Coturnix japonica: one gene and its partner. The protein of the gene in region 2 purifies or fractionates together with the protein of the main gene of each other region. This does not show direct contact. Links are inferred from orthologs where the notes say so. Each region holds a gene or a part of one and is shown on either strand. Other genes may lie near its edges. The genes, in order: MIF4GD and histone RNA hairpin-binding protein.

The links.
Region 1: the proteins of histone RNA hairpin-binding protein (region 2) and MIF4GD purify together in Homo sapiens (affinity purification with western blotting; 3 studies listed by BioGRID and IntAct, with this or other methods). This does not show direct contact. The link is inferred for Coturnix japonica from reciprocal best matches to the Homo sapiens genes SLBP and MIF4GD.

Annotation. Positions count from the first base shown.
Region 1 is NC_029533.1:9,386,717-9,391,028, forward strand, and holds the start of MIF4GD (MIF4G domain-containing protein), read right to left. Parts: upstream 2,865-4,312; 5' UTR 2,763-2,864; intron 2,513-2,762; exon of another isoform or gene 2,401-2,512; intron 1,584-2,400; 5' UTR 1,529-1,583; coding exon 1,447-1,528; intron 724-1,446; coding exon 614-723; intron 347-613; coding exon 191-346; intron 1-190. UniProt on the Homo sapiens protein: Functions in replication-dependent translation of histone mRNAs which differ from other eukaryotic mRNAs in that they do not end with a poly-A tail but a stem-loop. May participate in circularizing those mRNAs specifically enhancing their translation.
Region 2 is NC_029519.1:76,093,540-76,097,869, reverse strand, and holds the start of histone RNA hairpin-binding protein, read right to left. Parts: upstream 2,855-4,330; 5' UTR 2,556-2,854; coding exon 2,512-2,555; intron 2,383-2,511; coding exon 2,251-2,382; intron 1,470-2,250; coding exon 1,365-1,469; intron 859-1,364; coding exon 799-858; intron 544-798; coding exon 412-543; intron 1-411. UniProt on the Homo sapiens protein: RNA-binding protein involved in the histone pre-mRNA processing.

The DNA of each region.
Region 1 (4,312 bases), on a different chromosome or scaffold from region 2:
TGCCTCTTCAAGGCTGATGACCTGCTCAAATGTAGCAATAACCTGGGAGCATCCTCGCTCTGAGAGCTGGCTCCCACTGCTGAGCCATGGCCCTGGGGTGTCATAACACACATTCAGCGCTTCTACCCTGACCCTGGGCCCTTCTGGTACCTTAGCAGCAGCACCAGACGCTCCTGCTCTGGTTCCTTACCTTCAGGTAGTCAAAGATGTTGCAGATGAACGTGACGTAGCATATCCATGCCTGCAGTGACCGGTTGCGCAGATCCTCCCTGTCCTTGTACTCCTGCTGCAGCCGGTTCAGCAGGCTCCTCCGGAAGATGCTCTGTCCGACCTGTTTGCTCTCTGCCTAAGAGCCCACAAAAGCAGGATGGAAGGATGAAACTGGGGCAGAGAGGGGCAGGGGGGACTGGGATCTGGATGTTGCAGGACCATACTGATACCCTCCTGTGATGCCCAGAGACATAGAAAGGCTGCAGATATCTGCACCCACCAGCTGCACATCTGTGTCCTGCCAGTGCAGGGGCCAGTGGAAGAGTCGGAGTGCAGGGCTAGAAGAAGTCCCGGCCTAGCACAGCTTAGCAGCGTTTTCCTGGCAGACACAAATCTCTCTCACCTGGATGATGGTGTAGCAGATGCGCCCTGCTTCCTTGCTGAACACACAGTCTTTGAGGGACTGGTCAACTATAACATTGGCCACTTTGTCCAGGTCCACATTGCTGGGGTCTGTAGAGAGAAGAAACACTGTCAGGATCTAATATTTTTTGTGTCCTGCTTGTGCTAGGAAGCAGCCAAGGTTGGTATGGAACACAGTAAAACCATGTCATATGGTACCAAAACTCATGCTCACTCCCACACGGCCCCTTTTGCACGCCAGCTGCTTCGGAGATACCATCTCCAAGAACCACACAGACCTTCCAGGCTGGACTTACAGCCACGCAGATGGAAAAGTGATGGAGAAAAACATGGCAATGAAGGGAGGCAAGATTGATCTGAATCTGAAGTCCCAGCACTGCTTTGAAGTCGGGCTGGCAGCAGACAGACAAGCAAATTTCCATTGGGCTTTGAACTGAGACACCTGTAAGCAGGAGACACCGGGGGATGGGGTGCAGAAACAGCACAGGGAGAAGAGTGAGGGGCGAGATCTGAAGAGAGATCAGCTGGATGAGAACAGGAGAAGAAGGCATCCCAATCAGAGAAAAGCACTATGATGAGCATGGTCCTGAGAACCCGGATTGGAACAGCTACACCTTTCAGCAGCGAGGTGGAGGTGGGGGAGAAGAGGCGGGGAACAAAGAACTTCCTGAAGGGATTCAGTCTTGTAGAAACAGCATTTATGAAACAGCTTTTCTACACTTAGCAATTGGTGACAGCAGGAGGGGACAGGTATTCAGCCACATCAGTGAGCCAAGCTGAGTGCGGCAGAAAGGCCAGAAAAAGCCTGCTGACCTTTGAGTGCTGTTTTCAGCAGCTTCTGAGTCTCAGTGTCAAATGACTGTATTTTATACTCTTCTTTGCCTGTTTCCCCCATGACTGGCTTCCTCCAACAGCAAGAACCAGGGGAACAGATGTGCTAGCAGCAGCCCCTGTGAAAAGAGCAGACAGGGCTTAGTTGGCCAGAGAGCCCAGACCTCCACCAGCCACGTGGCAAATCCCATCCAGTCCGGGAGCCCAGACTTCAACCTTGACACCCTCCAGGTAGTAAGAAATATCCTGTTAATGCAGCATCCAGCTCGAGCCCTACATTTGGGCAAAGACCAATTCCCACATTTTTTTAAGCCTTGCTTCCTACTAGTTTACGACAAGGAACTTTTGGGCATCTTCAGAGCACTTTCGTTCTTCTGATGTGAAAATCAGTCTATTGATGTGCAGGTTTAAGCAGGACAGCACGCCAGAGCAAGCCCAAAAAGTAACTGTCTCCCTCAAAAGTCTTCCCTGTGGCTGCACCATGGGGAGGTACGAATGCAGGACACTCCATGCAGACACTCCCTTGTGCCTTTGAAACAGCAATTGAGATGATTTCACACAAACCTGGGGAGATTCAGAACCAACACCTAAACAATCCAATCCTCTCCTGCACCAGAGGATTCGACCCCCAAAACGCAGCAGAACACCGGAAAATGTTCAGCCAGATTCCACCAGGCTCCCATCTCCTCTTTTGCAGCGCTCTGCAGTACAGTGCTGCTGAATAATCTCTAGATTATTATGTTTTTGCTGGTTTGTGACACAGCAAAGATGGCAAGAGGGTGCACACAGCAGGGAGGAAGGGCTCTGACAGGCTTCCTCTGACACAGGACAATCTGCTGCAGAACGCGGGGCTGCTGGACCTGCAGCAAAACAGGGAGACGGCAATTGAACAAACTAGTTCTTCCAGCTCTCTGAAATTCCTCATCCGTTACTCACTGCTCTGTGCACACAGGTCAGCACTGCGATCTGCCGCTCGCTCTGCCCGCCTGGTGGCACCGTGTCTCCCAGTATCGGACCGAACCCACGCTGCGATGTCACCCAGCGCAGCCCCGATGTGCCAGGCCGGCACGTGCCGGGTGGGAACGACAGAGGAGCAGCGAACCTCCTCTCCTACCACCGAGCGTCCACCCGCGGCCGCCTGCGGGCACCGGGAGGGCACCAGGCACCACCCGGTCCCCTCGTCCCGCCGCCTCCCGGTCTCCGGACTCCCAACCCTGGCTCAGGCCCAGCGGCCCCGAGGGAAGATCGGGGCTGGGCGGTCGCAGGGAGCGGGGGGGGTTGTGGGACGGGGCACCGACCTGCCGGGCCGGCCCCGCTCCTCCAGCCGACACCGCGCCGGGCGGAGCGCGCAGCGCAGCGCCATGACCGAACCGACAGCGGCAGCGGCTTCCTCTGAGGTCATTTCCTCGACCGAGGCGGGGAAGGGCGGGGAGGGCGGCGCGGGGCCGGGCCGAGAGCGGCTGCAGCGCCGCCTGCGGCAGCACCACGGCGGGACGGGACGGGACCGGCACCGGCACCGCTCCGAGCCGGGACCACGAACATCCCAAACCGCCGCGGGGCGACGGCTGCGCTGAGCTCCGCCACGAGAGTCGGCGGGACGAGGCTGAGGGGCGCCATTATTCCCCGATCTCGTCAGGCTGAGCTACAGCGGAGCGGATCCAAGTCCCGGCTATAACGGAGCGGATCCAAGTCCCGGCTATAACGGAGCGGATCCAAGTCCCGGCTGTAGCGCTGCTTCCTGCCGGGTGTAGAAAGTAGCAGGGAAGTTCATGGAACAGGAGCTTCAAACACCTCGTGCTCCTCAGGAGCTCGCACTGAACGCAGCGTAACTCGCACTTCACGTTTTTTCTCCCGCTTGGAGCTGCTGCAGCTTTTACGAGGAGCAGCACGGGCAGAACGCTGCAAATACGAGCCGCAGGAAACGCAGCACGAGCAGCTCGTCACGTTGTCTGCAGCATCGCGGGGCTGAACACGAGGCCTGGGATCCTTCCCGTGGGTTTGTGGCTCAGGACGAGCCGTGACCGTCCCGTGCAGCTCCCAGGGATACACAGCGCAGCGCGTGGTGCGGCTCGAGCTGCTGATGGCTCCAGGAAGCAGCTCCAGTCCCGCAGGATCCACTGTGCGCACACAGGAGTGAAGGAGGAACGAGAAGCTGCAGCGACACGATCACAACAACGTATTTAATGCTCCGTCTTTATCAAGGCGGCCACGCGCTTTCAAGCACTTTGCACTCAGATGCTCAGATTACAGCAGCTGCAAAAGACCCACCCAGACAACAGATGGAATCACTGTTCTGCATCACAGTAACAGCTTAAATGCAAATTAAAAAGTCAACTTCAGAGCTAACTGTCAAACATCCATTTTAAAGATGCAGCTCTGGATGAGCATCTATCTATATATCTATAATGCCATCTAGGAACTCAAACACACAATCAGTGCTATTGGAAACAGCGCATTCATCACAGAATTTGTGTGTGCGGGTTCTCCCGTCTCAGGCAGGTTTGGTGGACCCCCATTACCACGGCGTGATTTGTGCAATCACAGAATCGGACCGTAATGATCACCTACTTTCACCACCCTGCCATGGAGCGGAGCTGCCTGCGCAAGAGAGAAAAGAACAGGCTGTGAACTGCAGGCCGTAAGAAAGAAAATAAAGTGCAAATGCAGCATCAAGCAGCAGCATCGTGCTGGTGAGGCAGCACTAGAACCCAACTGTGATCCAGGGCAAGCACAGGCATTCACTCAGTTTACCAACTGTCTTGTCAGAGCCTCTGCCAGGTAGTTGTATGCTTGGCTCCCCAAATCACTAAACACATACTGACATCGGGAGAGAGAGAACAAAGAAGTG
Region 2 (4,330 bases):
AAGTGGGGAAAAAAGAGATAATCTTAGATCTAAAAACTTAAGCGTGCAGTTTCCTATATTCCAAATATATGTTCCAGACTTCAGAACGACCACACTCTATTTTGCCTTTTACTTTACCAACAAGAAAACTGACTGCAAAAAAAAAAAGCACTTTCGGTTCTTCAAGTCGATCAGCACAACCAAAAGAACTTTCATTTCTGCAGCATGAAAAAGCTTGAAGGGGAACTGCTCATGCACAGAGTAGCTGTGAAACGTAGAAATCCAAGACCCATTTCAGAGCTTGTTTCATTTAACTGATTTAATTTGTAAATGCCTTTTATTTCAGTGTGTTTAGTGTGTTCGTGTGCTTAGAAAGAACAAGTTGGGACCTACATTTGAACATTTAGTTTTCCAGAAGCTCAAGCATCTTACCTAGGAACTTCTTTGATGTATCTGTCATAGGCAATTGTGTTTTTCCCATAGTTTATCTGTTTTTGTCTTCTCATCAAAACCACCTCATCCGTCTCAAGTTCTACTGTTACAGTGGATTCCTTTGAATCGGAACTGTAAGGACAGAATGTTATAAATTCGGGAGCAATAGAAAATGAGCGATACCCAAAAAGCAAACTCAGATATATAAGAGTCAAAAGAAACACGTGAAGTGTTTTCAAATGGATGCTTGAGATGTGAATGAATTTAAATGTGGGGGAGAGCTAAAATGTACTACTTCAACTTGGGGCTTCTCAAAAGCAACACCATGTTTGAAAAGTCAAATCCAATCCATTGCAAGGATTTTCTTCAGCTAAGCTAGAAACTTACCTTCCTGAAGAGGACTTCCTTTCTCTTGAAAACTCATTTACCAGGAGTTTTCTTCTGTATCTGCAAGAGTTCAAGTCGATATTAAGAACATACACAGAGAGAACAGATTTGGCTGCACTGTGACAGCTCAGTGAGTTTTAACTCAAGGCAACAGACTTAAAGAAATCCACCTATACACTGTAAATACTTTCCACTGTGAAGCAGACGCTTCACTTTTCCCCTAAGAACTAAAGAACACAACACATCCAAGGACTTCCTCTTCCTGAATCTACTATAAAAAGATCTTTAAACAGAGAAGATACTGAAAAACAGTAAATAATAAGAAGGGACATTGAAATGAATGTGGATATGTTTCTTCCAAAAGGGAGAGATTTAGAGACATACGTGCCCCCAGTGTGCTACGTTACTCCTGCAGGAGTTAAGCTGGTCTGAAAAGCAGAACTCCAAGGCTAAGACTGAACTCCAGTCTTTATCATAGACTAAGACTGAGTCACAATCTGAGTCTGACTGGATAGCGAAGCCACTTCCCCTCCATTCCCCACTTCATCTCAAGCCCCCACGGGTACCTTGCAATTTCTTTGTTAACGTTGGTTCTCATCTCATCTTCTTCCACTGCAGTTGCCCAGTCTAAACACCGGGAAAGGGGACCAGGGCCTTCTGGTGTTGTAAAACTGAAAGGAATAAAACAATAAGTTTAGGGGAAATGGTTTTAAGTTGAAAAAGGGAAGATTTAGGTTGGATGTTGGGGAAGTTTCTTCACTAGGAGAGTGGTAGGCCTGGAACAGGCTGCCCAGGGAGGTTGTGGATGCCCATCCTTGGAGTGTTCAAGACCAGGTTGGACGGGCCCTGGGCAGCCTGATCTAGTAAAGAGGTGTATGTTTGGTGGCCTGCCAGGCAGGGGGGTTGGAACTACATGATGCCTTGAGGTCCCTTCCACCTGGCCTCATTCTGTGATTCTGTGAAGTTCTTCTATTGTATTTTACCCTTTCCCCACTATCTGCAACTTGCCAGTTTGATGCTTTCAGGTACAGAACTCACAATGGTTAAGATCTTGTGTGATTCTATGGAAGTGTCAGCATTAATAATAATTGGAGTAATAACTTCAATATAGCCTGTTCAAAAGATTCAAAACTGGGAAGGGATATTCAAGGTCAGGTTGGATGTGGCTCTGGGCAGCCTGGTCTGCTGGTTGGTAACCCTGCACACAGCAGGGGGTTGGAACTGGATGATTATTGTGATCCTTTTCAACCCAGGCCGTTCTATGATTCTTATATCTCCTCCTAATCATCAGAGCTGCTGCCTCCATCAACTGAGGCCTTGACGGGAGGGAATCCCATCCAACCGCTGTTACCTGGGAGCAGAGCCACCTCTCACAGCCTCCTCTCACGGAGCTCCAACCCGAACCTCCCCAGGCACAACTGGGTCCCTCCAACCGCCGCCTCTTTCTCTCACCTGTCGGCCCTGCTGTCCGAGGGTCCTTGCTCCGTCTCTCCGAACACCGCCTCGCCTCCATCGCTTTGTTTCTTCCTCTTCCCGTCCGCTCCTCGTTTCCTTCCCTGTGACCATCGAGGTGGCGGCTGTGGGCTGCCACAAGAGAAGCGTTTCCTCAGCGACCCGCCCGCCCCACAGAGCGCAACATGGCGGCCCCTCACTGAGGGCAACACGGCCCCACAGGGATCGGGGGCAGCGCTCCGAGCCCTCCGCCCGCCCTACCTGCTCCTGGCCGTGTCGTGGGGGTTCCTGTGGCGGAAGGACATTGTGTGGGGTCCTCAGGGTGGAGAGACGGATGGAAGGACGGACAGACGGATGGAAGGTCGGACGGACAGAGGATGCCGTGCGGAACTGCCGCCTCACCGCCCGGCTCTTCGCATCTCCCGCCAGCCCGGCCGGCCCCGCCCCCGACAGGCCGCACCACAGCGCCAGGTGCGGGGGGGGAGAGAAACAGGAGAGGGGAGAGCGGACACTGAGGAGACTCTTCAGCCCAGTCGTTCCTTTAGCACGGAGTAACGGCCGGTCAATCCGCCTCGGGACGCGCTCGGAACCGTGACACGTGAGACAACGGGACGCGAATTCCTCCCTTTATCCCCCCCCCCCCCCGGCCCAGTGCGATGGTTCGGCCCGGCCCGGCCCCGCTGTGGCGGGAGATCGGAGCGCGGCTCAGCGTTTTGGCGCGCTCCATCTGCCCGCAGCCACCAACGGCAGCGCCAGAGCTGAGGGACCCACCGACCCCAAAACAGCATGAAGTAAATAGAAAGACAACCAGACCCACGTAGTGCTTAACTATGGGGACAGGCTGAGGGAGCTGGGTTTGTTCAAGCCTGGAAAGAGAAGGTTGCGGGGTGACCTCATTGCAAGCCTTTCAATACCTGAAGGGAACTTACTCCAGGAGGGGAGTAAACTCTTGGAAAGGGCTGAAAATAGCAGACACGGGGAAATGGTTTTAAGTTAAAAGAGGGAAGATTTAGGTTGGATGTTTAGGGGGAAGTTCTTCACTAGGAGAGTGGTTTAGGCCCTGGAACAGGCTGCCCAGGGAGGTTGTGGATGCCCGTCCTTGGAGGTGTTCAAGGCCAGGTTGGACGGGCCCTGGGCAACCTGATCTAGTAAAGGTGTATGTTTGGTGGCCCTGCCAGGCAGGGGGGTTGGAACTACATGATCCTTGAGGTCCCTTCCAACCCGGGTCATTCTGTGATTCTTTTATAACAAAGCATTAACAAGCAGACCAAGAAGCATTTTGAAAGGTTAAAGACTTTAATTCCTCTGCACAAAGACAATATACCAAAACCAAAAACCACTCTCGTATTTATAATCATCATAAAACACACGGAAGCATGCAGACTGGATCAGCAGTGCTCTTAAATAGTGCTTCAGAAGGTGCTGTATAGATTTGTTCCCTGTATACACATGCCATGCTGTGGTATGTGACTGAGCTACTTTGCACTGGGACTCCACTGAACCTTATACATAAGCATATATAGATGAGTCCCAGCTGCTGCAGGAAATAGAACAAGCCTCACCAACCTGCAGGCAGCCTCCATTCAGCCCTCAATGGTGGGAGCTTGACCTATTTGACTTGTAAGTACCACAGGCCTCACCCTCTTCCTATGTCTGGGCAAGCACACAGCCAGGAGGACATTCTTAGTACTGAGCAGCAGCTGCCACCAATCCTAATACACTCCTATTAAAGCAGCAGCACATGTTCCCCTACATATTGAGTCTTTTCTTCATTGGGAACTAGCAAACTTGCTATACATAACCACTGTAGTAAACTTCTATACGCTTGACAGGCTTTGGTGAAGGCAAGGTAATGCTCCAGTTCACTGCAGTAATGCTGTATACAGTCAAGTTTTCTTGATGCCTTGGACAAGTGTGAAGCGTATCTGAAAACCTCCAAGTAGCACAGAAGTTCTACAAAACTCACTTGAAAAAAAATCTAAGCAACAACTTGAAGTGATGCTTTGGAAGGGACTGGAAGTAGTTTCCACGTTAGCAGCTTAATGCTTCAGCACAACAGTGGGTGTCTGGCCTTGGGAGT